Arabidopsis thaliana: one gene and its partners. The protein of the gene in region 3 interacts with the protein of the main gene of each other region in a pairwise test. Each region holds a gene or a part of one and is shown on either strand. Other genes may lie near its edges.

Region 1 (8,206 bases), on a different chromosome or scaffold from region 3:
GACTCCATCAGCTACAAGCATTGAAGTTATCTCCTGCAACAATACAAATCGAAACAATGATAAAGATACACATCTTCTAAAGCATTTAGGTTCTCATAAACAAAAACAGTGCATACCTCAGCCATTTGTTTCTGTCCGCACAGCACCGCTCCCGTGGCCTTGGGAGCTGATAGCTGTTTAGCCCTTGCAAAAGCAGCCTATACAACACATTATGTATATATTAGTTTGATCCACATTGAGTTACAGCAGACTTGACTAAGGAGCACGTTTCTCAATCTCACCTGCACATATCCAGTTTCCCCTTTCCACCCATCATCTGGCTGTGATAATACCGGCACAACTTTGACACCCGCTGATTCCCACTCTTTAAACTTTTCCTACAAAATCAAGAGCGTTTCCAAGATGATTCTTCTGTAGATCAAAATGAGAGCGAGAGATAGGCTTTACGCTTATCATCAAAAGATTTTTATAATTCAAGCACACACATTTATATCTACTGACATCATGAATTGCAAAACAACTGAGAGAAAGAACCAAACCTGGTAAGCCATCCTATTCAGGTTCCTAGCCCCGTAATAGAGTCTTACGTCAGATCTTCTATCAGCGCCAAATCCTGATTCGATTAGTGAGCGGATGGGGCTGCAGAGATAAGAACATGTGAGATTACATTCCAAATTGAAGACAGTTACTTAATTCACATCACCATCACTAAACATTTTTGATTGACCAGGCCTAGAACAATAGATGATTGAAAGAAACACCTTTACTTGGCATAAACAACAGATCTGATCGATCACCAAAGTCATAAAAACATTGACCTTTCATACATGAAACTCTATTTCAGTATTACAACATCATCACAGTAAAAAAATAGCCACAAAATTGGTCCATGGCACCTTTGGATAGATTGAAATCATACTGGAGTTCACAAAAAAGGTCCACAAAAAAGCAATTGAACCCGGCATCACAGAGGATTCACCGCAAAATGAGTAACTAAACTAGATTCAAGATACTTGAGTTTGAAAGCTTTGTATCTAGCTAATGCTCTGCACTGAAACCTTTAAACTAGACCACACTTGGATCATTGAATACATGAAGTAAAAAAGACAACTTCAGCAATCCAACAAGGTAGGAGAGAAAATGGAAAAAGCTCTCACCTAATTCCAGATCCAGTGGCGAAAATCAAAACGGTGGGATATTCCTCAGGAGGATCAATCAGATCGATATTGAAACCATTACCCATCACAGAGCTAAGCTCAACGGTCTCTCCTTTCTTCAACCCGCAGAGAATCTCCGCGGTAGAACCAGCGATGCTCTTGACCAAGAATTCGAAAGCACCACGAGAAGACGCCAAGGAAGGAGGAGAAGCGATTGCCATAAAAGAAGGCTTCTCAACATCAGGAACACGGATCTGGAGATACTGACCGGGTCTCGTGTACGAAGCTACGAGATCCGGAGCGTTTGAAATGTCGATTGAGATGTGGAAAAGCGATTCTGCAGCTGATTCGATTAGAGAGAGAGGAGCTGGAGTCCAGAGGGAAGCGTCCTGGCGAACGGCGGCGGCGGATACAACGGAAGCGACGCGGTTATTTCGGGATAAACGGAGATGGCGTGTAAGAGGGAGATGGCGCAGGATAAACATGGGGGAGAGGGAGTGGCTAAAGTGCGCATGGGTGACAGAAGGCGCGAAAGGAAGAGTGGACATGGTGGAGAGTTTTTGGGGCTCTATATGTGACCGTCAAATTTAGCCGGCGGTAGAAAAGGGCGGCCCGATTGGTTCGGTGGCACGATTGTGTTATTTTTTTTTGCTATGCACCTAATTTCCTTCCGTTACAATGTTTTGCCACGTGGATGATCAAAATATCATTCTATCTACTTTCCGACCACTTGTTGTGATACTTCGAAAATTGCATTCCCTCTTCATTTAATTTTGCTAGCTCGTCTTTCAAAGAAAAAACACCAAATCATGTAATTAAAAGACAGAATTGTGGAAGAAAAGTGACAAGCAATATGCATATTAAAAAACGTAAGAGTACATTATCAATGAACACTCCCTACCGTTGAGCCAAATTTAACGTATATATTTCATTCATGGTTTTGGAATTTTGCCAAGTGGCACTACACTATAGATTCCCTTGGTAAGGAATTACACATAACCAAGCACCAAAAAGCAGACAGTAGTACTTCACGATTATCACTCACCACTTTCCGTTTCAACTTTCAAACTCTCTCTCACAAGCCATGCAAGACGCGGAGAGAACCACCAATGATCCGGTAGACAGAATTGAGAAAGTGACATGGAGAGATCTGCAAGACGGATCTTTCACCGCAGAACTCAAGAGGCTTATCTGCTTTGCGGCTCCTATGGCTGCCGTGGTTATCATTCAGTTCATGATACAGATAATCTCAATGGTGATGGTGGGTCACCTCGGTAGACTCTCCCTCGCTAGCGCTTCCTTCGCAGTCTCCTTCTGTAACGTCACTGGCTTCAGCTTCATTGTTTGTTTTCCTTTTCCTTCTTTCCTCTAAATTGACGCACTTATCTCTGTTACTAGCTACCAGAACCATGGAAATTGCATCCTCTCCTCACTTTCTTGTTACTTTTTGATGATAGATAGGATTGTCATGTGCCTTAGATACTTTGAGTGGTCAAGCTTATGGAGCTAAGCTATATCGGAAACTAGGTGTTCAGGCTTACACAGCTATGTTCTGTCTTACTTTAGTGTGTCTCCCTCTCTCTCTCCTATGGTTCAACATGGGAAAGCTTATTGTGATCCTTGGCCAAGACCCTGCTATTGCTCACGAAGCTGGTAGATATGCCGCTTGGCTCATCCCAGGACTGTTCGCTTACGCCGTTCTTCAGCCGCTCATTCGCTACTTCAAAAACCAGAGCTTGATCACACCTCTCCTCGTCACCTCTTCTGTTGTGTTTTGTATCCACGTTCCTCTCTGCTGGCTTTTGGTTTATAAGTCAGGGCTTGGTCATATTGGAGGAGCCTTGGCTCTCAGCTTGTCATACTGGCTCTATGCCATTTTCCTTGGATCTTTCATGTACTACTCCTCTGCCTGTTCTGAGACACGCGCGCCGCTTACCATGGAGATATTCGAGGGCGTTAGAGAGTTTATCAAATATGCTCTTCCTTCTGCGGCTATGCTTTGGTACATCACTTTTCTCTGTTCCTTTTTCACTTCTCATTGCCTCCACATTTTTTGTTAGAAACTCTTTTATATATGGGTTGCAGCCTGGAGTGGTGGTCATATGAACTCATAATATTACTTTCTGGTCTGTTACCCAACCCACAGCTGGAGACTTCTGTGCTCTCTATCTGGTACTCATCCTTGCATCTTTCCATTTCCTGTCACAATCTTGAATTTGCAAAATCATAATGTTATTCATACTACGGACAGTTTCGAAACACTTTCAATAACTTATTCAATACCACTAGCGATCGCGGCTGCAGCAAGGTTAGAGCTTTTGTCACCACTATCCAGTACATAAATGCTGAAGTATACTTTCTGTTATGGTTTCATGTTCATAAGCAAGTACATTGTGCAGCACAAGAATCTCAAATGAGTTAGGAGCTGGAAACTCTCGAGCAGCACATATTGTGGTCTATGCGGCAATGTCTCTTGCAGTAATGGATGCATTGATGGTGAGTATGTCTCTATTAGCCGGCAGGCATGTTTTCGGCCATGTTTTCAGCAGTGACAAGAAAACCATCGAATATGTTGCAAAGATGGCTCCGTTGGTCTCTATTTCTATCATACTGGACAGTTTACAAGGGGTTCTCTCAGGTTCGAGATTTTTTCCCATTTCGTTTCTCAAACATAAGCTAGTGTCGAATATACAGCTCCAAGTTGTCATGCCTGTTCATGTTGTACTCTTTTCTGCCATTCTTCTAACCCTCGTTTGATGGTTGGAAGGTGTTGCAAGCGGATGCGGGTGGCAGCATATAGGGGCTTACATAAACTTCGGAGCTTTCTATCTCTGGGGGATACCCATTGCAGCATCTTTAGCCTTCTGGGTTCATCTGAAAGGTGTTGGCCTTTGGATTGGAATACTAGCCGGTGCAGTTCTGCAGACTCTTCTGCTGGCTCTTGTCACAGGCTGCACAAACTGGAAAACCCAGGTCCTTTCCTTTGCTTTTTGTCTTTCATGACATGTTTCTATTTTGGAATAAACATATCGATGTTCAATTGGATGCATTTTGAACTCTAGGCCCGTGAAGCGAGGGAGCGAATGGCTGTGGCCCATGAATCAGAACTTACAGAGTCAGAACTTCCCATCTAAGATTACAGGGACACAGATGTTCCTCCTATTTTACCATTTTTGTAGCAGCCAAATCGTTATATGTTACTGCTGGACTAGTGGTTGCCGTGAATAATTGGTCTTTTCTTTTGTAATATTAGCAGCCCTCAGCAATCGTTATTTCGATGAAGCATTATTCTGGTAGTTCAGAAATACCTTGGACAGAAAATGATGTAGTGATCCAATTCTGCTGATACCAGCTCGCTTATACCTGTAACACAGTAGTTGCGAGTCAGGAAATAGATGTGGGAGCTGCTTCTGAGTCTTGGAGCTAGAGTTTTCAATCACTGAAAATGTTTCTCGACACAGACCTTCACAAGTGTCTCCACAAGTAATAATGACAGGATCACACATATATTACTATCACTAGAAAAATATAACCACCAACAACGTTGCTTTATGTATTCAAACTTTCTTACGATGATGACAATATAGTTTGCAAAATGCATATTAAAAAAAGAAAACGCAGAGAGCCAAGAGTCAGCATCAGTAATCACGCCACAAAAATAAAACGCAGAGAGCATATTAAAATGTTGAATTAATAGGTGGAATAAAGTGACGATTATGTGTTACAAAAATGAAAAATATGGTTTTGTATAAAAACACCAATGTGGCAATGTACATAGTCTTAAAGAACAACACGTACTAAAGCACAAAAAGCAGACAGTAGTTCTTCACTCACACCACTTTCAGTTTCAAATTTCAACTCTCTCTCTTTAGTGTCTCTCTAGCCATGGAAGACGCAGAGAGCACCACCAAAGATCCTGTAGACAGAGTTGAGAAAGTAACATGGAGAGATCTGCAAGACGGATCTTTCACCGCAGAACTCAAGAAGCTTATATGCTTTGCGGCTCCTATGGCTGCCGTGGTTATCACTCAGTCCATGTTACAGATCATAACAATGGTGATTGTGGGTCACCTCGGCAGACTCTCTCTCGCTAGCGCTTCCTTCGCCATCTCCTTCTGTAACGTCACTGGCTTCAGCTTCATTGTTTGTTTCCTTTTCCTTTTTTCCACTAAAATTGACGCACTTATCTCTCTTACTAGCTACCAGAACCATGGAAATTGTATCCTCTCATCACTTTACTGTTACTTTTTGATGCTAGATGGGATTGTCATGTGCCTTAGATACTCTCAGCGGTCAAGCCTATGGAGCTAAGCTATATCGGAAACTAGGTGTTCAGGCTTACACAGCTATGTTCTGTCTTACATTAGTGTGTCTCCCTCTCTCTCTCCTATGGTTCAACATGGGAAAGCTTCTCGTGATCCTTGGCCAAGACCCTTCAATTGCACACGAAGCCGGAAGATTTGCTGCTTGGCTCATCCCAGGACTGTTTGCTTACGCTGTTCTACAGCCGCTTACTCGCTACTTCAAAAACCAGAGCTTGATAACACCTCTCCTTATCACCTCTTGTGTTGTGTTCTGTCTCCATGTTCCTCTTTGTTGGCTTTTGGTTTATAAGTCAGGGCTTGATCATATTGGAGGAGCCTTGGCTCTCAGTTTGTCATACTGGCTCTATGCCATCTTTCTTGGATCTTTCATGTACTTCTCCTCTGCTTGTTCTGAGACACGTGCACCGCTTACCATGGAGATATTCGAGGGCGTTAGAGAGTTTATCAAATATGCTCTTCCTTCTGCGGCTATGCTTTGGTACATCACTTTTCTCTGTTCCTTTTTCACTTCTCATTGCCTCTACATTTTTTGTTAGAAACTCTTTTATGTGTTGCAGCCTAGAGTGGTGGTCTTATGAACTCATAATATTACTATCTGGTCTCTTACCCAACCCACAACTGGAGACTTCTGTGCTCTCTGTCTGGTACTCCTCCTTGCATCTTACTAACTCTCGTCACAATCATGAATTTGCCAAAACATAATGTTATTTATACTATGAATAGTCTCCAAACACTTTCGATGACTTATTCGATACCACTAGCGATTGCAGCTGCAGCAAGGTTAGAGCCACCATTATGCTGTTCATAAATGGTCAAGCATACTTGCTGTTCATGGCAAGGAATCATATGGTTTCATGTTCATAAGGGGATGTTTCTTGTGCAGCACAAGAATCTCAAATGAATTAGGTGCTGGAAACTCTCGAGCAGCACATATTGTGGTCTACGCGGCAATGTCTCTTGCAGTAGTGGATGCATTGATGGTGGGTACGTCTCTATTAGCTGGTAAGAATCTGTTGGGCCAAGTTTTCAGCAGTGACAAGAATACCATCGACTATGTTGCAAAGATGGCTCCACTGGTCTCTATTTCTCTCATACTGGACAGTTTACAAGGGGTTCTCTCAGGTTCGAGAACTGTTCCTATTTCTTTTCTCAAACATATACTAGTGTCGAATATTATGTTATGCACTTTTTAGTCAAAGATAACTAAAGGTGAACTCTTTTCTGCCATTCCTAACCCTCATTTGTTGGTTTGCAGGTGTTGCAAGCGGATGCGGGTGGCAGCATATAGGGGCTTACATAAACTTTGGAGCTTTCTATCTCTGGGGGATACCCATTGCTGCATCTTTAGCCTTCTGGGTTCATCTGAAAGGTGTTGGCCTTTGGATTGGAATAATAGCCGGTGCCGTTCTGCAAACTCTTCTGCTGGCTCTTGTCACAGGCTGCATAAACTGGGAAAACCAGGTCTTTTTCCCTTTTCTTTTGTTCTTTCTTCTTCATGACATGTTTCTATTGTGAAATAAACATATTGATGTTCAGTTGGATGCATATTTGAACTCTAGGCTCGTGAAGCGAGGAAGCGAATGGCTGTGGCCCATGAATCAGAACTTACAGAGTCAGAACTTCCCTTTTAAGATAACGGGGGCACATATGTTGTTCCTCAGGTTACACCATTTTGGTAGCAGCCAAATCGTTGTATGTTACTGCTAGACTAGCGTTTGCCGTGAATAATCGGTCTTTTTTGTAATAATACCATATGATACATCCCTCAGCAATCGTTGTTTCGATGAAGTTTCATCCTACTTATTCAGAAATACTTTGGACAGAAAATGATGCAGTGATCCCATTCTGCTGATACCAACTCGCAATCAGACTTGTAACACAGTAGTTGCGAGTCAGGGAAAGATGTGGGAGCTGCTTCTGAGTATTGGGGCAAGAGTTTTCCATCACAGAACCATTTCTCGACACAGACCCGTTCATAAGTCTGTCCAGAAGCAACAATGACAGGATCACGCATAAGCTGCAAAGATATCTGTTCTTCTGGTGGAATGAAAATCTGTCCTGATTTCCTACTGTTCATAAGCTTATAGTTGATAGAACCAAACTTCGATAGTTGGCGCCCAAACGCATGAACACGATGTTCATTACAACCTTAACCAGAGTCATTTGTCATCCACAATTTCACTTCTGAATAGCTTGGAGTACTTTTTCATGAGATGCAAGATGTAAGCCACAATGGAATCCTTCCCCTTGTCTTCTTCCACACTTTCCCAGTCAATGAGTTTCTTTAAAGCATGTCGCCTCCACCATAGCTGATCTAGAAGAAGTTCTACTACGTTCCACCAGAGCTGTCACAGGAGTTGTCAAATAGTTCAATTACCCGATCACCAACACTGAATCTGAAGAAATCACAAATCAAAATTAGAATTCGCAACTAGGAACTAGCAGATACCAAGTTTTACCAATCCGAACTCTAATTTCAAGAAACAAATAAACACGAGGGTATGCTTGTGTAATCAAAAAAACAAAAGACAAGCAAGTAGCTAGCAAGAGATACATAAGCCCTAATGTGAAAAAGGAAATGTGTTGTGCACTAAAACAGACATCACCTGAAACCCACTTGATCTAGGAACAATGTCCTCCATGCGTCTAAGACTTTTCATACATGCATATTTTGGTTTCTCAATTTCTACGGTATAGCATCCCCAGTGATGGCCTGTTTACAAG
Region 2 (8,093 bases), on a different chromosome or scaffold from region 3:
CAAGATCCCACAAAAACCGTCCAATGTATCCTTCAAATTCAAACCCCTTCTAGAATCGAAATTAAGTTGGATTTTGGTATCAGTATAGAGTCCAAAAGAAAAAGGAACCCAATTCATTACAATCTGTAACTCAAAATGAATCTGAAAATACATTTCTGGAAGTTATAAATATATTGTTACAAAATCAAAATGTGCCAAACAAAACAATGTATCTGCAACAAACTTTTGCTTGATTAGCATTCACACCCTGTTGATCTTTGTTGCTGACCTCCGGCAACATCAATGGTGTCGGGAAGGTACCTACGAGAGGTATCAGAGACGGTCAGAAGATAAGACTACGACGACTTGAAGTGATGCAAATTTGCCAAAAAAAAAAAAAAAAGCAGTAAGATATGTTTGTACTTACGGTTCTTCTTCAGGTTCATTCTTGAAAGCATTTTTGGTAATGCATTCGAAAGCCGCATCTACATTGAATCCTTCTTTGGCGGAAGTCTCAAAGTAAGGAATGTTTCCTTTAGATGCACACCATGCCTTTGCCTTTTTCTCAGAAACCTGACAAATATAGGATAACTTTAGCATAACCAAACTCTAGACACTTAAGTATTTCATGAAATGAAGATAACGTCTCACCACTCTGCTCTTTCCACCATCAACATCAGTCTTGTTCCCCAACACAACAAATGGAAAGTTTTCAGGATCTGAAGGACTAGCCTAAACAATGACACCACAAAGAAGCATTTGGTTTATAGCAATACAATTCTCAAACTACAAAGTTCTATAAGAAAGAAAAAAACAAAGAGGATTAGTGTTACCTGAATCAAGAACTCTTCCCTCCAGTTATTAAGATTATCAAAAGATTTCATAACATTGACATCATAGACAAGAACACAACAATCCGCTCCTCGGTAAAACGCAACTCCCAAACTTTGAAATCTTTCTTGTCCAGCAGTATCCCAAATCTATATAATGTACCAAGAGATTGTATTAGTAATAGTTCTATAAATCTCTATAGACAACCAAAAAAACACTGTATCTTCCTAAGAAGCACACAAATTTGAACCTCAACAAAGAAAGATTTTGACTTTTTCTGCATTATAAACCCAAAAAGGTAGGAACCTAAGATCCAATCACATTCTAAGAATCAAAATGTTTGATTGATTCAAAGAATACCTGTAAAGTGAAGATTCTGTCATCTATTTGAACCTCTTTAGTCAAAAAATCTGCTCCAATCGTAGCTTTATACTGATTACTAAACTTTCGATTCACAAACCTATCAAAATAGAATCAATCAAAATCAAATTTCATAAGGAATTTATCAATGTTCTAAGTAAGAGACACATAGATCTGGATTTCAGAAACATACTGATTCATCAACGAAGTCTTCCCAACACTGGCCATAAAAAAAGAATCAAAATCTCATCATTCAATGAACAAATAAAACCACATCAAATCTGAAATCTGAAGAGATGAGAGAATTTACCCGCTATCACCGAGAATGATAACCTTGAGAAGAACTCTCCGGCGAGAAGACATTGACGGAAACTTTTAGGGATTTAGCTGATTTGGTTTTTCTTTTCAGCGAAGAAACTGTCTCTGTTTTCTTCTTTCACAATCTCTCTCTTTTGGTTCTTCTTCTTCGTGTGATTTACAGAAAAAGTATATACTGTATTAGCTAAATAACAGCAAAGTTACTATTTTAAAATCTTTTATTTTCCCAAAATTGCCCCTCCTTTAATTAGTCATTAACTAATCTTATTATAAACAATTTAAAAAATTAATTAATTATACTTGAAGAAATCTTCAAACGGTCTAATTATGTTTACTTTATCAAATGTTTTGTTAATTACCATTGACTTATGTACTAACTATACTAATAATTACTCCTTCAACCAAAAATCAAACACCATGCTTATAAAAATATTATTTCTCTGAATCTAAAATCGGTTAATATATATATGGGATTTCATTTGCAAAAAAAAAAACAATTTCTTCAAAGTTGCATGGATAACAAAAGAAAACATGCTTTAAAAAAAGAATCAAAGATGTTAAAAATAACTTTCCACTCAAATAATATATCACGGCCAAAAAATAATTAAGAATCATAAAGTCTTTGATTGAATCTAATTTAATATCTTCACACCAAACTCAAAAAAATCTCCAACAAATAATATTCACGTGCAATATCAGGCTCATGACAGTTTCGATTAGAGCCACACATGGAAATAATTAAAAGTGAAAGCGCGTCTAATGAATAATGTGTTTTACACCTAAACCTACGGGTCCTACCCCAAAATGATAAGACTTAACTATTACCAAGAATCCTCTGTTTAAAGTTCATGTGTCCTTGGTATTCTTCTCCGGTTCGATCTCCTGCGTTGTACGTTGGCCTTCGGTGATACTAGACGAGCCTGATGGGTTCTGACCATTGTCGCTAGTCAAACCACTGCATTCGCTGCTACCAAATGTTTTGCTTTCGAACGCCATTTTCTTGAATTTCTTCAAGTCTTCTTTGTATTGTGTTGAGCTATAATCTGAGCTCCCGTCTAAGCTGTAAATAGTACTTTGTCCTGGGGCAGCTCCTTCTGTTAGGTCATCTATAGATATATTTCCTTCGAATGCTCGAACTATCTGCAATTGTCCAAAGAACAATGACACCATTGAACTCACAAAGTTTCATTTTTTATCCTAGTGTTAGATTGAATGTTGCCAAAAGGTTTTGATGTGATAGTTAGTACCTGGCTCATTTTTGGGCGACGTTTAGCTGAATGACGGACACTAGCAGCAGCGCAAGCAACCATTCTCGTCATTTCGTTGATATCAAAATCATTCTCTAACCGCGGGTCAACAAGACCGTCAAAGTTTCCATCGTTTAACGCTTGTATCATCAGAGGTTTTGCCTAGAGCATGAGGTAAAGTTTAAAAGCTTATTAAAAGTGGTGGTAAGGGAAACAAGATAACCAACCCAATCAACGATGCTATCATCATCAGCAAAAGGCTGTGATTTATCAACAGGACGGCGTCCGGTTATCAGTTCAAGAAGCACCACTCCAATTGAGAAGACATCTGATTTCTCAGTAAGTTTCCCTGAAGAAGCATATTCAGGAGCCAAGTAACTGCATCACAAGAAAGAAGTTTAAAAGATTGTTAGTATGTTATGAACTTATTATGGTTATGGTTGCGTATAGAAAAGAGTGTTTCGTACCCGAAGGTTCCCATAATCCGAGTGGAGACATGAGTATCAGTGTCTAAAGAAGACCTGGCAAGTCCAAAATCTGCTAACTGATGAACCAAGTTCAGCATTATTAGTAGTGCAGTCTAAACAACATTTTTATATAGTTTTACAAGTTCAAGAATACCTTCGCCTCATAGCTATCGTCAATTAGAATATTTGCAGCCTTGACATCGCGGTGTATTGTCTTAGGATTACCTGAAACAAAACAAAATCTCCTTGACAAAAACTTCAGAAACTAATGTTGTACAATACTCAAAGACAAGAACATTATACTCACAATCTTCATGTAAGTATGCCAATCCTTTAGCTGCACCCAAAGCAATCTTCATCCTCTTTGACCACTCCATTACCGGTCTCTCTTTCTCTACAAAACAACCACCATAATTCAAACAAAACTGCGGGAATTCACGCAAGCATAACTGAAAACAAGTCTTTTAAAAAAAACTCACCGTGTAAATGAAATTCGAGAGTCTTATTAGGCACAAACTCATAAACAAGCAATCTTTGAGCACCAGTGATACAATAACCAAGAAGAGAAACAAGATGCCTATGATGAACTCTACTAATAGTCTGTATCTCAGCTTGAAACTCTCGTTCACCTTGTCCACTTCCAGATTTAAGCTGCTTAATAGCAACCAAAGTTCCATCAACAAGAACTCCTCTATGAACATAACCAAACCCACCTTGTCCAAGAAGGTTAGTGTTGGAGAAGTTACTAGTTGCTTTAGACAAATCTTCATATGTAAACAAGTTTTGTCCAATCTCTGATGAACTCCATTGCTGAAGATTATTGCTATCATCTACAAAAACAGAGGAATTGAATAATCATTAAAAAAAGATTGAGTCTTTGGAAATAAAGAAACCCTAAATAAAGTACCTTTGGGATCTAGTGAGTCTCTGTTAATAGAAGCTTCGATATCTTCTTTCTTCTTCTTCTTTAACTTCCTCTTCTTTCTTTTATAGAAACAGACAAAGATACAAACTCCGAGTAGGACAAACGTAGCTCCGAGAACTACTCCAGTAATAAGTCCAGTTAATGCTACATTTCTCGAGCCTCCATCAATGTTTGTTGTTGTCTCCGGAAACGGAGCCAACGAAGAAGGTCCGATGATGGATGGCTGAGACGGAGCTGGTGACGTCGCCGTGTCTGGTGTGGTGGAAGGAAACTCCGGCGCCGGTGGAGATGAGAGGGAAGGGATAGTGTCGGTAGACATTAGATCAGAAGATGATGAGGATGATTTGGTTTTTCAGGCGTGTGTGCAGGTTTTTCTCATGGCGGAAGTGAAGACGAAGACGAAGACGAAGAAGACGAAGACGAAGGAGAATGAAGAAAGGGACATGCGGTGGGTCCCGTCCCACTTGAGAGATTTGTTCTTCTGGCAAGTGTCTCTTTAATTCTCTCGTCACTCTGTTTCTCAGTTAGTCAGTTAACACTTACCAACCATCAAAAGAAGAACTAATAAAGAGCCAAATTCATCTTATGTTTTTTATTTAAAAATATAATCATTAAGTCAACATTTTTAAAATAATAAAATTTACTAATGATTTTTAGAATCTTTAAGAAAAATTTACCATATAAGTCAACTTTTTTGCTTTTTTTTTTTAAAAAAAAAATTTTAAAATTTTTATACACAATTTTTTATATGATTTTGGATGACTCGATACAATATGTCAAATTAGAACTTATTTTATACGGACTAAACTAGCCTATATTTTCAAGTTTGACTAATTTTAGAGAAAAACTAGTCCAGCCAAAAAAAATTAGTCTAGTAAATATTCAATTCGATCGGATTTTTTTGCAAAAAATAAAAAAATAAAAAATCGATGGAATCAAATTCCGACTTTCTAATCCACAGTAAAATTGTTTCGGAAAAATCCGATTTCATGAAAATAATTTTTAGATCTAATTTTTATGGTGTTTTTATAACTAAAATTTTTTTAAAACTATAAATCAAATTTATTTTGTAAAATTAATATTATAATGTATATAGTAAAATTATCTAATCAAATTTATACTTACTACTGTATAAAAACAAGCACGACTACATAAGTATATTCACATTGTCTTGTCTGCCATTAATTTTTTTGTCTTTAAAAGTAAAAAAGAATCAAAGGGACCAACAAAAGATATGAAAAAACATACTAGTACTACTATTTACCGTGATCTTTGGTTTGTGGATTGTATCTCTCCCTAAGGTACCCATCAAGTTGAGAATTATTGAATTCTTTGAACAACTAATTCCACATCATTTTCCAAGTATTGTATCTTGGTATATGCATTCTCCTTCTATTTTTTGTTTGCTCAATAAATTGTACGCGGTGAAGCCAGCCAGATACCCGGTTTATTAACCAATCCTATGCTTCCGGAGTTTTTTTTATGTTAATCATTTACATAATAAAAAGAAAAACAATTAATGTGGTAGGGTACGGACGACAAGTAGGTAATCAATGGAAGCAATTATCAGGAACCATATATATTTGACAGAAGAAATATAATAACCGAAAACAATTACGTTTTCACAAGGAAAAACACAAAACGAAATCTCATCCAACAATGTTTTCAAGACAAAATCTGTGAATCAAGGATTACTAATAATGGAAATCCATTGCTTTGTTATGCATCAAAAAAATTTATATAGATTTGGCAATGCAATCTCAAGATCATTTTAATGATAAGGTTAATTGGGAAAAATAATCGTATTTGTCTTTGGTACGAATAGAAACCAAAACAACTTCGAATTAAACCATATCAAATTTCAAGTCACAGCTCAATAGTAAATTGCAAAACAGCAAACAACACGAACCATTTTGTGATAACCAAGAGTCAACAAAGAAATGCATTTTTTTTTTTCTTGGGTTTCACACAATGGTTGTTTTTGTTGGTTCTTTATAGGTTGAGTTATGCAAAATAATTTTTGTTACGTTCAAAACGAGGAAGAAAAAAAAAATTAGGTGTGGTGTGGTTCAAAGAATTGTCATCCAGTGTTAAAAAAACATTTTTTACATAAGTTTTTGTAGAATATTTGAGAAATTTCATTTTTAGAATATCCATTTTCAAAACTACTCTTACCTTTTATACATTATTCTACTTCGCTTGTTCAAAACTAATCACACCCTATTATTTAATCCGCTTATTCTACAATTCGCTTCGCTATCACTAGATCAAATGTATTTTAGGTTTTAAAGAAAATAAATGTTTTCGATGTTTTGTAACGATCACTTAGGTTCAACCAAATACATACCACATTTTTAATTGGTCACAAAGATACATATTATAGAACTCTTAGCATATTATCCTTGATTAAGCAAATTGCATGAAAAACATTGTTGGTGTCCATGGAAATTCATAAAATCAAAGCATTCATGCAGACTAAGACAGTAAGACCACAATCGCAATCCGTCAAGGTGACCCAATTATCATCGTGGACGAGGACACTGAAGTGTAGAAAAACCTAGATACGAGAAACCCATCTCTTCAAGTCTTCAACTCATAAGCTCATCTCCTTACCTTTTAAGATCAAAAGCCCATATTTTCAGTTCACAAGTCCATTTTCTTCGTTCATAAGCCCATCTCCACAATTTAAGTCTACGAGTCCGACTTCTCAGCTCTAACTTCAAGTTTATAATGATTTCAAAGATTTTCTGTTTGATATTATGTTAATCTTAGACATATAATTTCGACACTCGTCTCAAAATTTTGGCTGCAAGACATAGTATCATATTATACATATAGAAACACCATAATTCCTATGAGCAAATTTGCAAGCAACTCACCTTAATTATGAATGTTAGTGAACCTAAGAATACGTATTCGATATAAGTGGGCCGTAGAGTATAATGACTTTACCAAGTCTTTATCTGTCGGACGGACACACCACTGGCAAGGAACCATAATGATTAGAATAAAGAGAATTAAAAGACTTGCAAATTGAAATCCATCCATGTCCAAAACTTTAAAAACGCAAAGACCACACAAAAAGATAGTCATAATCAGACACTTAAGAGTAGTAATCTTGTGAACAACAAACTCAGAATTCTCTCTCCCTTGATGCTCAAAAACAAGTTTAAGCTGATGAAGCAACTCCCTTGTTCCTTGGCTTGGCTTCGGTACCTGGAAAACGTCCAACAATTAAATTATACAAAAGCCATTTCATACAGATACAAACTGATTAACTGAAAACCAAAGAAAACTCAGTGGAAATGGTGGAATATAGTACCCTCTCTGAAACCGGTCTTGAACCTGCGAGGCACATTGCGAAGATACCTCATCCTTCCAGTTCCAGTAGTCTTTCTACGGATTGCCTTCACACTCCAGTTGTCTACCAACATCATTATACACATCAATTAGAAACAAATTCACAAATGGCATATAAAAAATTCTGAGTAGAAGACAGTGCCATTTACATGAGAAAAAGAGAAGTTTCACTAAGTTATGTAAATTCTTACTAAAGTTTATATTCGACTAGAACCATAGTAATTTCAATTACACTCATGGTTTATACCGGACAAGAGCCTAACTATGCATAACAATACACTATTGTTCTTATTCGATATATGGGATTCATATGCATTAGGAAGCTCTAGAGAAATAACGAATCCATACAAAGACTTATTCAATCCCTAACCAAACCCTAATTCTGATAGAGAATCAATGGATCTGCAATACTAAAACATATAACGAATTGAAACGAAGAAATGATCTATTTCGGCTAAATCAAGCGAATACGAAGCAAATGAAAGAGAGAGAGAGAAGAGATTCGTACAAGTCCTCTTGCGAGCGGCGGGATAAGCACAAGCAGAGCAACGACTCTTCTGGATGTGGAAACTGCGACGGCCACATCTGACACAGAGTGTGTGACTC
Region 3 (7,578 bases):
TAAGCCCAATCATGGAGTTGCTGCATGTACATCAGAACATGGAGTCATGGACCATCTATGGGCTCAGTCCCAAACTTAGCCCATATGTTTCCTTTACAGTAATCTTATTCTTCTTATTCAACACATATTTCTTAATGATTCTATTTCCTTTGTTGTCACAAATGAAAGTAGTTAAGTTTGACTGATTACGAGATTTAGAAACAAGAAAAACCAGTTTTAATTTTCAAATCTTGTTGGCTCCAAAAGAATGTAATAAATGAGTTGTGTAATAAAAAAAAGACAGGAACAAATGTATGTAATGTCCTAATAATAGAGCTTATCTTTTGATTAATTAATCAAAAAAGTTTGGGCCTTTTAAGAATTTAAAAAACCTCCAAAAATTCGACGCAAATAGGCCTCTCCACCAAATCTCTCTCTCTTTCTCTCTGTCACACTCTTTATCACTCTCTGCTCTCACAGATCGGAGAATCTCCTCTGAGAGCTCTAATCTCTCAGCTTTCTTCACCGGCGTCTCCGGATCTAATAATCCTGTAAGGCCTGTAAGTAATCTCATTTTTATTTTCAAGATTTATTTGCGATTTCATCTCTTTTATGCTGAATTTGATTTTCGATGTAGCCTTGTTTTAGCTATCAGTATTACAATTAGTTATCACTGTGATATATATCTTCTCTGAAGTATTATGTTTGCGTTTTGAAGCTACTGCAGAAAAAAGATTGAATTTTTACAATTTGGGGTGACTCAATTTTGTTGACTAGAGTGTTTGGAGATATTTCTAACTAAATGGGAACAATGCACCGCAGGTATAATTTCCTTAACTGATAGATTGTAATACAAAAAAAAGAGTTTTTTTTCCAATATGAAGATTACTACTTAGTGGTTAGTTTTGCAGTGGTGCTCCTCGAAGAACGAATGAAAATGCAAAGGTTATTATTACTACTATTTTGGGGATAGTGTTTGGGACTTTTATTGGTATCACATTACCTTCACTTTCGTTTAAGGTATGAGTTTTGTTTTTCATAGGTCCTTTTATGTGTCCCTTTCATTTTTGCACCTGTTGAATTTTGTTTCGTATTCCTGCAGATTAACTTACCCTCGCGCCTTATATCATCTCTTGATGTAGCCATATCTGGTGACAAATCCCCTGAAGATTTCGGTTCAAGAAAGTTTCCTGAGGTATATAATAAACTTCTTGTTCGGTTCCCTTTCGTTAGCTTTTCGATTATGTTCTAGAATAGTGCCTCATTTCAGATGAAATGTATCGTTTCTGTATGTTTGATTGCAGATATATGTTCCAACTAACCCGCGTGGTGCAGAACTACTACCTCCAGGAATCGTTGTGGCGAAAACTGATTTTTACTTGCGTAGATTATGGGGAGAACCTAATGAAGTATTGACTTCTCATTCTATATTTACTTTCTCAATATATATGGTTTTATCTCTGAAGGCCATTAGAATAGTTAATGTCAAAACAATAACCTTTGCAGGATTTGAAGAAGAAGCCAAAATATCTTGTGACATTTACAGTTGGATTTGAGCAGAGGAACCATATTAATGGAGTTGTTAAGAAGGTTCTGCAATATCAGCATGTGTTTTAGCAAGTATTGTTTTATATATTCTTTGTGGATACACTCAGATTTTTTGTTTTCTTGTCATATCTTCAGTTTTCTGAAGATTTCCAAATTTTGCTCTTCCATTATGATGGCCGGACAACTGAATGGGACCAATTTGAGTGGTCGAAGAGCGCGATTCATATTAGTACAAGAAAGCAAACAAAATGGTTAGTCATCTGGTCATTTACCGGTTATTAAGTATGTTTGTCGAGTATGTTTTTATCGAAATTCTCTACTGGTTTTGGCAGGTGGTACGCGAAGAGGTTTTTGCATCCTGATGTTGTGTCAGCTTATGAGTACATATTTATATGGGATGAAGATCTTGGAGTGGAGCATTTCAATGCGGATAAGTAAGTTATTACTTGTCTGAAGTAGCAGAACAATCTTATATTTTACATTTTGTGATGGAATTCTATTAAAACTTCAGGTACATTGAGTTAGTTAAGAAGCATGGTTTAGAGATTTCTCAACCAGGCTTAGAGCCTAACAATGGACTCACATGGGAAATGACAAAGAGGAGAGGTGACCGGGAAGTCCATAAGTAAGATCTCCTTCTCTAACCATTCTTCTTTGCCTTTCTTTCAAATTTGGTTCTGAATTAAGAAATGTGTTGTTACTTACTGTTGAACAGAGATACAAAAGAGAAACCAGGATGGTGTAAAGACCCACATTTACCTCCATGTGCCGCGTAAGTCTCTCTTTGAAACGTTCTCTTTAGAGCAACTCAAGAGTGTTTAGTCATTGTCAGTACTGAGTTTTCTGAAAAAAATTCCCTCTCACAGGTTTGTTGAAATAATGGCGCCTGTATTTTCTCGAGAAGCATGGCGATGTGTGTGGCATATGATTCAGGTTCGTCGATCTGTAGATACATAGTCCTAGTCTTAGTCCATCAAAATAATGCTTGTTGTTTTGATCAGTTTGTTTATGTTTCTGATGCAGAATGATCTGGTTCATGGATGGGGTCTCGACTTTGCGCTTAGAAGATGCGTTGAAGTAAGTTGTTTTTGCCCCCCCCTTGCTTACCTTAATAACACAATATTCTCTTGACTGATGATGAAAATTTGTGTGTTTTGCTTTTGCAGCCTGCTCATGAGAAGATTGGTGTTGTGGATTCGCAATGGATAATACATAAAGTGATACCTTCACTTGGAAGTCAAGGAAAGTCAGAGAATGGGAAAGCTCCATGGCAAGGAGTGAGAGATAGATGCAAAATGGAATGGACAATGTTTCAGAACCGATTGGCTGATGCTGATAAAGAGTATCTTGGGAAGATGGTGAAAGATTAGATTTGTTTTTCTTTTTTCTTTCTATATAATTAATATATTAAAAAAACTTTTACTTTTGTATATCAAATATTTTACACTAAATTAGGTTTTCATAGGACATGTGTGAAGCCCTTTTTATTGATATTGTGTAAGATTTATACATTTTGATTGAGCTTTATTATGTTGTTTGTTACTTTCTCCATTTCAAATTCTTAGATGTTTTTAAAAAGAAATTGCTTTCACTAAACAAGAGAGAAGTGAAACATGTAAAAAAAAAAAACTTTAGAAAACAAAGGTGTAATAGAAGTGGTTGTTATTACATAATCTTTTTGACTTCTGAAAAGACAATAAGAAAACAAGACTTATAACCAGTTTCATGATTTATCTATTTCACCCAATTTCATAAATTGGCTATTTTATATTTGCTCTCAATAGGTAACGTAAATGGTAGAGAAATTAAGGAGAAGAGAAGGGTATTGGTATGGACTTTGGAGTGAGTGTGAAGCTTTACACCAAATCCAAATAATTTCAATTTTCATTTTAGTTTCTATTTTACAATATTTTGCCCAATAGAAAAAGTATGAGAAATTCAGTTTCACCTTCCTTTTTGCTTTTAGTTCAAGTCAATTGTTTGTCCATAGAAAACCATACAATGTCTCCCTCCATTGGCTGTTTCATTTCAGAGTCTTTTTTATGGTTAAGAATTTGCTATCATATCATTAGTAGAAGTCTCTTATGAGGAAAAACAAATATTAAGCAACATCATTATAGTTTTTCTCATGTATCTTGTGCGTAATTATGTAAATGTCATAATTATTAAAACATGAAATTAGGAAGAACAGAAGTTTGGTGTTAGACACCAACCATTTTTATACAAACAAATAATAAAAATCTCATTATATCACCTTTGCATTTCATCACTCATCACATTCACAATCCTTCTCTTTTTCTCACATCAATATATATCTCTCTTTCTCTCTCTTCATTTGATAGATTTGAAGATTTGAGAGGAGAGAGAGGAAGAAAAAATGGGAGAGATGAAGAGTATGCAAATGGGTGTGATTGGAGCATTGTTTCTATCAGTTGCATCTTCTGTCTCCATTGTCATTTGCAACAAAGCTTTGATGACCAATCTTGGTTTCCCTTTTGGTAATTACTAGTACTTTTTTTTTTTGCTTTGTGAGAATATATTTTGTAAGATCTTTATCAAAAACCCGATTATTCGTCTTAGGATTGATCGCTTTTTTGCTATGGTTTTGTTACAGCAACAACACTTACTAGTTGGCATTTGATGGTAACATATTGCACACTTCATGTGGCATATAAACTAAACTTCTTTGAGAATAAACCAATAGACATGAGAACTGTTGTTCTCTTTGGCCTCCTCAATGGCATTTCCATTGGTCTCCTCAATCTCAGCCTCGGCTTTAATTCCATCGGCTTCTATCAAGTATATATCTTCGACATACTTTTGATCATGTAACAATTATATGATTCACCAATTTGATGTTTGTCCATAACTAATGGCAGATGACCAAACTTGCTATCATACCATTCACTGTTCTTTTAGAAACCCTCTTCCTCAACAAGAAGTTCAGGTGAACCAAACTTGATACATAAGATTATTTTAATTTTTATTGTTTACATAAATAACTTTTTTTTGAATGACATATTTTGGTTTTGCAGCCAGAAGATAAAATTCTCATTGTTTTTGCTGCTAGTTGGGGTTGGTATAGCATCAATCACAGATCTTCAGCTCAATTTTGTTGGCTCTGTTCTATCTCTCCTTGCCATTGCCACAACTTGCGTCGGCCAAATTGTATGCTTTAAGTTTCATTAAACTAATGTTTAATAACTAATACATAGTATAATTAATATGACTATGAAAATGTTGTGGTGAAGCTAACAAACACTATCCAGAAGAGACTGAACGTGACATCAACACAACTCCTATACCAATCAGCCCCGTTCCAAGCTGCTATACTCTTCGTCTCGGGTCCTTTTGTCGACAAATACCTCACTAGCCTCAATGTTTTCTCCTTCCATTACTCTCCCATCGTCGTGGTAATTTTTTACATCGTTAATTCCATTTATTCCCAATTGGTGTTAAAATAGAATTAGAATCATTGTCCTGGATCGGTCCAGCCCATTTTCGCATGGCCCCTTAGAGCCGTGCCCATGTTGAGCCATGATTGTATCATAACGTCCCTAGATAGATACTAAAATTTTGTGAAATTTGACAATGATGAATCATGCAGGGGTTCATAACGTTGTCGTGTTTGATAGCGGTTTCGGTTAACTTCAGTACGTTTTTAGTGATTGGAAAGACATCTCCGGTGACATACCAAGTCTTGGGACATCTCAAAACGTGTTTGGTGCTCGCATTTGGTTACACTCTCCTTCACGATCCCTTCACTCCTCGTAATATCGCAGGAATACTCATCGCTGTCCTCGGGATGCTTCTCTACTCCTACTTCTGCTCAGTTGCTTCTAAATCCAAACAAGCCTCCTCCGATTCCACTTTTCTTGTACGTTAACCACACAAAAAGAAAAGATAGAAATAATGAGTGTTGAAAGTTTCTAAGTACTTTGGTTTTATTCCTTTTTTGACAGGGGAAAGATAGAGATACGACGCCGCTTTTGGGACAAGAAAATGAGAACCATCATGAAGCCAAGAAATTAGACAAGCATTCTCCAGTATGAAATAGTACAATAACTCTTTCTTTATGTTTCGACTCTATAATTGTGTCCCTTTTTTTTGTTCATTCATTGATAATGTTTTTGTAATTGAGAAAAAATTGAAATAGCCAATGGGCATTTTCTCTTCTTTTTTATATTTACATTTCCTATTTCATTTCCTCCTTTTTGGATCTTACAAGGATTATAAAATTATTTTCTCTCGTACGTGTTCTTTGGTTTATGTTAGTGTTCTTCAAATGATCAAATGATTGTTTTCTATTAAGAAGATAAAATAAAATAGTATAGTACTAAATAGTGTTTAAAATACAATTAGTTTCAAAACGGTTTTGGACTTTTCGGTGATTAAAATGTGATAAATTATGAAGTTTTTGAGTTTATGGAAGAAAAATGATGGGCGATTTGACATATGCATATAATTATTATCGGTTTTTAGGATAACAGGAACCAGAAATTTCTAATAATTGAAATGCTTTATGCTCTTATTTTTCCTTTCCATATAAAAAATTTAAATGCAATTTATAACATATATACATATAGATATGTATATTGTTAAATATTACATGTGCGTTACGTCTAACGTTTACGAGAATTCATCCTCTGTTCACATGCTACGTTGTCGTTGTTGTTTTATCTTTCCATGAATAGTATATGTATAACATTTTTATGTTATGGTCTTATGGACCTACAAAGAGAATTGGCAATGAAACTTTCCCTTAAAAGCGAATAATTTTTTTAATTAAAAACTAGTGGTTGTGAGACTTGCAAGTTACGAATGACAAAAAAAAAAAAATAATAATAATAAATGAGAAATGGTCTTCAATCTTCATCAATAGGCCAACTTGTTTGCAACAACCAACAATCCAACTAAAAATCATTTTAAACAAATTATATGATGATGACTTATTCCTACAAATTACTACAGTTTTGGCCTTTTGTCCAACGATGTTGTGATACGTTTCTACATATTTCTCAATCGATCAACGCTAATGCTTATTTTTCAAGATTACTATTTTGTCTCCATGTGTTTTCAGAGACTATGCCTTGTCTTTGTTGGTTGGTTTCACTTTCTTTAGCCATTTTTTTTTTTAAGTCTCCACTCATATTGAATTAGTTAATTTAGGAGTTGGCAAAATAAAGTAAAACTATGGCTTGCATTTTAGTATAAGTAGTTTCTGTATGTGAATGTGATTAAGCTCCCAAGAGTTTTGTCTTACCTCTTGTTGTGATATGTTTATTTTGATTTTCTACCCAATAACATATCTTGTAAAGCGTTTATAACAAAGTAGTGTTTGATGGGTACAAACCACCCAGATGAGCTATATGACTTTTCATTTGTTTGTTTTTGAGCCACTGAGTGACATATAATCTAAAATTGTGCCACTTTCCCATTAAAACCATATGTTTTCAAGCATAATATCTTAATATCAGTATTTTAAAATTAAAAGCAAGATACTATTTTATCCACTTTGGAGAAGATAGATATTTGGAAAATTTGATAAGAATACTAATAAGAGTCTGATGCAATTTGCACATTAACCATTGATAAATAAGACACAACAAGCTCACTTCCGAGAAAAGAGTACAAAAATTAATATTACTCTAGTATAGTTACTTTAATACTTCAATGTTGTATATGATCAATGTACCACGCTAAATCTATTAAATATGTGATTTATACAAAAATTTACATGTGAACTATTTTTTAAAAAACTTTATCTACCCAGAGATTAGTTTTGAACTCCTCCACAGGTGGTGAGGATTTATCTTCAATTAACAGGAAAAAAAAAGTTTATCATCATTCACTCTAATAAATTTATTTCTCCAGTTTTCCATCTTCATTTTTTGAAAGTAATATATATTAAAACTTGTAAATTTTAATTTTATAAAATATTTATATTTTACAGTTTATAATTGTTATTAAGTAACGCTATACCACGAATCCATGAGACAATTGTTAAAATTTTTAAGTTTTAACCCCTATTAAAACAGCATATTAAACATA
Region 4 (6,538 bases), on a different chromosome or scaffold from region 3:
CAACGGATTACTTGACGAAAAAAAAAAATCAACGGATTACTTACAATATTATTCTTAAAAAAGCCTTAAAACTAAATTTAAATATGTGAAAATATGTTGAACTTATAATACGCAGGAGTTACAGACTAAAAGAACAGGATGCTAAACGCTTTCAAGTATTTAAATTTCAACATTTAAGTTTGAAAACATTTTGTTAATAAACTTTTAGCTTTAAAATATCAAAACAGATTATTTTTGAAAAAATCTTAAAATTAAATTTAAATATGAGAAAACATGTTGAACTTATGATAACGCACGAGTTACATACCTAAAAGACGGGATGTTAAATCTAACCGTTCCAGTATTTAAATTTAACATTTAAGTTTAAAAACATTTTTGTAATAAAAATATTTTATATAATAGAAAAACTTTTAGCTAACAATTTTCCCTTTTCGGTAAGACAACTTCGGTAAGACAAAATTACCCTTTTCCGTTACAACGGTCATATATTTTTTTACAGCGTAACAATTTTCCTATGGCCTATGTGCGTCATGAGTCAAATAGCTTGAACAAAAGCGGAGCAGTTTAGCTAGACTAACCGTTAGTGGGATAACATACGCATTTTTTATTCGTATATTTTAGTGTTTACCGTGAATATTTTAATTAAAACATAAAAATATTTTTTCCCCTAATTCTTTAATTTTGGTTTTCATTTTCAAGTCCGCCAAAAAAAGCGAAGAGAGGGTTTTAATACGATTCCACTCTTCTCAACAAATTTGACGTTTTTGTTCTTCGAAATTCAAATTCACCCAGAAAAAATCTCAATCCGCGATGGTTGAAGAATCAGCTTCTGCGTCGGAAGCTTCGGTGATACAAACCCTAACCGAGCCGGCGACGGAGATTGCGCAAACCCTAGAACCTAACCTAGCCTCAATCGAAGCCACCGTCGAATCGGTTGTTCAGGGAGGCACTGAATCGACTTGTAACAACGACGCTAATAACAACAACGCCGCTGACAGTGCTGCTACTGAGGTTTGTGATGAGGAGCGTGAGAAGACGCTTGAGTTCGCTGAGGAATTGACGGAGAAAGGCTCTGTGTTTTTGAAAGAGAACGATTTCGCTGAAGCCGTCGATTGCTTCAGCCGTGCTCTCGAAATCAGGTATCTTTTTGGGAGATTCATTTGAGAATTTGTAGTCGAGAACCTCTCAATCAAGGGTTTAGGGTTTCAGATGTTTCTGAATCTAGTTTATGCTCGAATGATCTAATCATGGTTCTGAATTTTTAGTTGAGTTTCAATTGTGTGTTCTCTCGACTGAATTCTTTAGTATCTGGTCCTTTTATCAAAGGATCTAATGAAAACATTGCTTGTTTTAATGGTATGGTTAGGGTTGCACATTATGGTGAACTTGATGCTGAGTGTATAAACGCATACTATCGATATGGATTAGCTCTCCTGGCAAAGGCTCAAGCTGAAGCTGATCCACTTGGGAACATGCCTAAGAAAGAAGGTGAAGTTCAGCAAGAGTCCAGCAATGGTGAATCGCTGGCTCCTTCTGTTGTTTCAGGTGACCCAGAGAGACAAGGGAGTTCAAGTGGGCAAGAAGGTATGGATTATTGGGAATTGTCTTAGGTTAAGCTTATGGGTATAGATGCTTCTGCTTCTTTGTTTGCTGACTTCTTTTCTCCCTCATGTATAGGTTCTGGTGGTAAAGACCAAGGAGAGGATGGTGAAGATTGTCAAGATGATGACCTATCTGATGCTGATGGTGATGCTGATGAAGATGAGTCTGATTTGGATATGGCCTGGAAAATGCTGGACATTGCTAGGGTTATTACTGACAAACAGTCTACTGAGACAATGGAAAAAGTGGATATACTCTGTTCGCTTGCTGAAGTGTCCTTGGAAAGAGGTATTTTTTCTTCCTTTCACCTTTGCATTGTCTTATTTTCTCATGTCAGCTATTGGTTGGTTTTGAGTTCTGTTGTTTACTATGCAGAGGACATTGAGTCTTCCCTGTCTGACTACAAGAATGCATTATCCATCTTAGAGAGACTGGTTGAGCCCGACAGTCGACGCACAGCTGAATTGTATCCTTGTGGTTTCTTAAATTGTACCTGATTTTCGTTTCTGTCAATTCAGTTGTTGGATTATATCTTAACTTGAACGTTTCAGAAACTTCCGCATCTGCATTTGTCTTGAGACTGGATGTCAGCCTAAGGAAGCAATACCATATTGTCAAAAAGCTTTGTTAATATGCAAAGCTCGGATGGAGAGGCTCAGTAATGAAATCAAAGGTGCATCTGGTTCAGCAACTTCCTCAACCGTCTCTGAAATAGATGAAGGCATCCAACAATCATCCAATGTTCCTTACATTGATAAATCTGCTTCAGACAAAGAAGTTGAGATCGGAGACTTAGCTGGTCTCGCTGAAGATCTAGAAAAGAAGGCAAGTAAACTAAACCTATCAGTTCATTAAAATATCTCTAAACCCATACTAATGTCCAACATTTTTTTTCTGCAGCTTGAGGATTTAAAACAACAAGCAGAGAACCCAAAGCAGGTTCTTGCTGAGCTAATGGGCATGGTATCAGCTAAGCCAAATGCCAGTGACAAGGTTGTTCCTGCTGCTGCTGAAATGAGCTCTTCTAGGATGGGAACTGTGAACACCAATTTCGGGAAAGATTTAGAGTCGCCTACAGTCTCAACCGCTCATACCGGTGCAGCAGGAGGAGGAGCAGCATCAGGTGTTACTCACTTGGGTGTTGTTGGAAGAGGAGTGAAGAGAGTTTTGATGAATACAACCTCGATTGAATCAAGTGCATCAAAGAAACCAGCTCTAGAGTTTTCAGACAAAGCAGATGGCAACTCCTCTTGAAACCGGAAAAAGGTATAAAAATTCCTGTTACTAGTGAAGTATCTAACCTAAGAAAACTGAGAAAAACATTTGGTATCTTCCTCATGAATCTTCCAAGACTAGATTTTCAGGTTCATGTTTTGTAATGGAGTCCGTACTTGCTACTTTTTTAAATCGCTGAGATATTTTTTACTTTTTATTCTTGTTTAATCAGTCTTATTTTTTCAAAGTGTTTTTTAGTTTAGGCACAAAAGCAGAATCTTATTATCACATTATCAGTTGATAATCATCTGATGAGAAATAGTTCTTTGGAGATCTTTTAGGGAATTTTATAAGTAATAATTAAGGGATAATTGGATATCCTTTATTAAAAAATGTAGGCTACTTGTAGAATTAAAAACTGGAATCTTATAATATGATTAGTATAATAAGATTACGCTATATCTGGATTCTGGAGATATCATAGATAAGCTCTGTCTATGAAAACGAGACCCTTGGGGAAGCCACGTGTCAAATCTATCTCTGTCACCAGCGAAGCCTACGTGGCGAGCAGCTCCTAGAATATCCAAATTCACAACAGTATTTTTTTTTCTTTCGTTCTGATTCAACAGTTGTCACAAACAGCCAAGGTGTTTTGTGATTGGTTATAAATACTCTGCTATGTGAGAGAGTTTACTACATTCACAAACAAACTAAAACTTAAAAATGGGAAGGGGTGAGTTTTTGGCCATGAAGACTGAGGAGAACGCGGCTAACCTGATCAATTCCGATATGAATGAGTTCGTCGCCGCTGCAAAGAAGCTCGTGAAAGACGTAGGGATGCTCGGCGGGGTAGGTTTTGGCACGTCAGTCCTCCAATGGGCCGCTTCAATCTTCGCTATGTGAGCCAAAAGACAAAACCATATAACCTCTCTGGTTTTTGTTTGAATCATATATTGATATGATGGTTCTTATTGTTTTGCTTTGACAGTTATCTGTTGATATTGGATCGTACCAACTGGAAAACCAAAATGTTGACCACCCTTTTAGTACCATACATCTTTTTCACACTTCCTTCGGTTATCTTCCAGTTCTTTAGGTAATCAAGAAAAACTGTTCTTTAACATGATGTTATGGAGTTCTTTTGAAAATATAATCCATATTCGATATAATTTCACAGCGGAGACTTTGGGAAATGGATTGCTCTCATCGCGATCATAGTCAGGCTTTTCTTCCCTAAAGAATTTCCAGGTCAGAACCAGCAGTTTTCATGACTTAACATTAGTTTGAAACTTTGATCTTGAAAATCTTCTTTCTTTTTTGCATATAAATGTAGAGTGGCTAGAGATTCCGGTAGCATTGATTCTTATTGTGGTGGTGTCGCCGAGCCTTATAGCTTGGACACTAAGAGAAAGCTGGGTTGGAGCAGTCATATGTCTAGTAATAGCATGTTACCTTTTCCATGAACACATTAAAGCTTCAGGTGGATTCAAAAACTCTTTTACTCAAAAGAATGGAATCTCCAATACCATTGGGATCGTTGCCCTCCTCGTTTACCCGGTTTGGACCATCTTCTTTCACATCTTTTAAGTCAATCCGACCCATTGGTTTGTAGACACATTCAACATTTTGTGTCTTCAATTCGTTTTCAAGGTTTGAATTTTATAAGGAGCATTTGTGTTTGAGAAAGTCTTGAATATAAAAAAGAAGTTTCAATCGTGCACTGCTGACTTGTAAGATTGTTTTTTTTTTCTTGTAAATGTGTGACTTGTAAGATATATAAATAAATTTGCATATTGGTTGATTTGTTGAATCAATCTTGAATATTGTAGACTTTTTAATTGATCATGACTAATAGTTGTTTTTTGAAAATTGTTTTTCATTTCATTAACACCAAACAATAAAGCAACACAAATTTCTATCACCTCCTAGCATTGAACTACGTGCCGTTGTTCGTATCCAAAAGTGTATATTCTTGTAATCATTCACCGTCAAAGCTCAAGTAGTTAGTAGCACCACACCAGATTTCCAAAGCACAAAGCTCATGACTAGCCTTACCTACACACTCGATGAAATCGAAGGCCCTTTCGAAGTTGATTACGCAGCAGTGACAGTACACAACTTCCTGGTGGGGAGCGTGTACCGTTCTTGTTCACGATCAAGCAGCTCGTGGCATCGCAGAGGATACTTTGGTCCCAAGTCGATCCCTTCAGCATTCACCCAAGGCCACGTTGGAAATAAATCTGATCGTAAAACACAACATCTGCAGATTATTATCAATAAAAATTCAGAAATCAATAAAATTCACTCTGAAAACGCAGAAAATCTAAGGTAAATTCATAACGACCTTTTGAATTTCTAGTGTCGAAGCTGTATTGAAGAAGAAGAAGAAGATTCCGAAGCTAACAAAGGAGAAGACGAGAGTGGATTGATTGCTCCTCTCTCCTCTCTGATGATATTCGTGCTTCTACACTCACAGAGATACACTGTTTATTATTGTTTTCAATATATGAGAGGAGGAGCTTCCCTACTATTTTTAGTTTTTTAGCCAATGAGAGAGCTCCACTTCATACCCCACTTTTACCAATCGTGCGATTTCACAGCCACTCTCACCCATGTCGCGTTGAGCGCGTGTCTACGATTTCTAAAGGGGTTATTAATCCACAAAATTTATGCCTTTTTGAATCCACGCACCTCGTTCTTAAAAACCCATCGCGTGTCTTATTTGTTTTGGTTTTCTTCTCTAAACCAAATTAAACCGAACCGAGATCAATTTGAATTTCGAAACCAATGTAAACCCATCGCTGTGAAAACAAAAAGCTCGGCCACAAAAATGGAGACGACACAACTTGGAAGAGAAATCAACTCGAAATAGCCAAGAGAATGTTCGTAAACCCCCTCAAATCCGATGCTTCCTTTGATTCCAACCTCCAAAAGCCCATCTGCTCAAATCCGAGGAGTATTACAAGGTACCTCTATAGAATATCAAGGCTATGACAATGCGGTTGCATTACCTGCTAGAGGAAACAATGAGGAGCTAGCTAAGGAGAACAACAAGATCACACTTAGTGTAACAAAGAGTAATCCCGAGAGCGGTGAAGTGATTGGTGCTTTCGAGAGTATTCAACCTTCAGACACTGATTTGGGTGCTACGACTCCTAAGGATGTCAAGATTCAAGGAATCTGGTATTGCCAACTTGATGAATAAAACATAGAGAATCTGTTTGTTTTCTTTTTCTGTAAATGTTGTTATGATTAAGGAATATTGATTCCAGTTCATAGTACATGTGGTACTCCATTTGGTAACACTTTGCACTTTTGGCTTTAATCAGATACTAATTATTGTGATTAAAAGACTAATTATTGCGGATTAAGATAACATATTTGTAGATCTGTATAATTGCTTGTAACAGCAAAGATGATTTCTGGTTAAGAAGTAAGAAGAGATTTATAATTAAGCAAACCATTTGCCTTATGACCCCATTGTTGTCACATCCACTTTGTCTTTTCACCTTCCCTGTCTCAAAAAACAGAGGACCCTTGCTCTGTTTCTTAACCCTGTTTTATCTCCTACTCAAAGTTCAAATCTTTTGCGAAACCCAGTAATGGAAGATCAAAGCAGGTGAAAATGAGGAGAACTAGAGACGTTAACAAGGGCTCTTGTTCAAGGAGATGGTAAGAACAACGGCGTCGTTTGGAACCAGCTCAAGCTTTGTTCTTCGTC

Evidence for each region.
Region 1: the proteins of AT2G28315 (region 3) and AT1G15150 interact in a protein complementation assay, tested with the Arabidopsis thaliana proteins (one large-scale study listed by BioGRID).
Region 2: the proteins of AT2G28315 (region 3) and PERK15 interact in a protein complementation assay, tested with the Arabidopsis thaliana proteins (one large-scale study listed by BioGRID).
Region 4: the proteins of AT2G28315 (region 3) and AT4G37220 interact in a protein complementation assay, tested with the Arabidopsis thaliana proteins (one large-scale study listed by BioGRID).

Annotation. Positions count from the first base shown.
Region 1 is NC_003070.9:5,210,433-5,218,638, forward strand, and holds AT1G15150 (MATE efflux family protein), read left to right. Parts: upstream 1-2,042; 5' UTR 2,043-2,241; coding exon 2,242-2,499; exon of another isoform or gene 2,500-2,614; coding exon 2,615-3,159; intron 3,160-3,242; coding exon 3,243-3,329; intron 3,330-3,408; coding exon 3,409-3,465; intron 3,466-3,556; coding exon 3,557-3,795; intron 3,796-3,924; coding exon 3,925-4,130; intron 4,131-4,219; coding exon 4,220-4,291; 3' UTR 4,292-4,610; downstream 4,611-8,206. Other genes in the region: AT1G15140 (FAD/NAD(P)-binding oxidoreductase), read right to left, coding at 1-33, 117-197, 282-377, 540-639, 1,158-1,705; AT1G15160 (MATE efflux family protein), read left to right, coding at 5,043-5,300, 5,416-5,960, 6,040-6,126, 6,206-6,262, 6,366-6,604, 6,738-6,943, 7,042-7,113; AT1G15165 (RING/FYVE/PHD zinc finger superfamily protein), read right to left, coding at 7,287-7,548, 7,685-7,827, 8,089-8,195.
Region 2 is NC_003070.9:19,467,917-19,476,009, forward strand, and holds PERK15 (Protein kinase superfamily protein), read right to left. Parts: upstream 4,667-8,093; 5' UTR 4,447-4,666; coding exon 4,110-4,446; intron 4,033-4,109; coding exon 3,682-4,032; intron 3,597-3,681; coding exon 3,510-3,596; intron 3,428-3,509; coding exon 3,357-3,427; intron 3,280-3,356; coding exon 3,203-3,279; intron 3,114-3,202; coding exon 2,963-3,113; coding exon of another isoform or gene 2,898-2,962; coding exon 2,736-2,897; intron 2,629-2,735; coding exon 2,335-2,628; 3' UTR 1,904-2,334; downstream 1-1,903. Other genes in the region: RABG3d (RAB GTPase homolog G3D), read right to left, coding at 234-300, 407-552, 631-711, 813-959, 1,171-1,270, 1,364-1,390, 1,481-1,533; AT1G52300 (Zinc-binding ribosomal protein family protein), read right to left, coding at 7,297-7,343, 7,450-7,551, 7,996-8,093.
Region 3 is NC_003071.7:12,084,992-12,092,569, forward strand, and holds AT2G28315 (Nucleotide/sugar transporter family protein), read left to right. Parts: upstream 1-3,675; 5' UTR 3,676-3,904; coding exon 3,905-4,025; intron 4,026-4,141; coding exon 4,142-4,326; intron 4,327-4,406; coding exon 4,407-4,474; intron 4,475-4,562; coding exon 4,563-4,695; intron 4,696-4,778; coding exon 4,779-4,940; intron 4,941-5,134; coding exon 5,135-5,404; coding exon of another isoform or gene 5,405-5,413; exon of another isoform or gene 5,414-5,489; coding exon 5,490-5,579; 3' UTR 5,580-5,774; downstream 5,775-7,578. Other genes in the region: AT2G28310 (trimethylguanosine synthase (DUF707)), read left to right, coding at 782-801, 891-999, 1,082-1,174, 1,284-1,388, 1,486-1,569, 1,663-1,778, 1,860-1,961, 2,039-2,152 and 4 more. UniProt on the Arabidopsis thaliana protein: Nucleotide-sugar transporter that transports UDP-xylose and UMP in a strict counter-exchange mode.
Region 4 is NC_003075.7:17,511,566-17,518,103, forward strand, and holds AT4G37220 (Cold acclimation protein WCOR413 family), read left to right. Parts: upstream 1-3,476; 5' UTR 3,477-3,540; coding exon 3,541-3,716; intron 3,717-3,805; coding exon 3,806-3,913; intron 3,914-3,994; coding exon 3,995-4,065; intron 4,066-4,150; coding exon 4,151-4,404; 3' UTR 4,405-4,597; downstream 4,598-6,538. Other genes in the region: AT4G37210 (Tetratricopeptide repeat (TPR)-like superfamily protein), read left to right, coding at 811-1,139, 1,367-1,584, 1,678-1,890, 1,978-2,068, 2,154-2,427, 2,503-2,856; AT4G37230 (Photosystem II manganese-stabilising protein (PsbO) family), read left to right, coding at 4,859-5,063, 5,796-6,022; AT4G37235 (Uncharacterized protein family (UPF0497)), read left to right, coding at 6,487-6,538.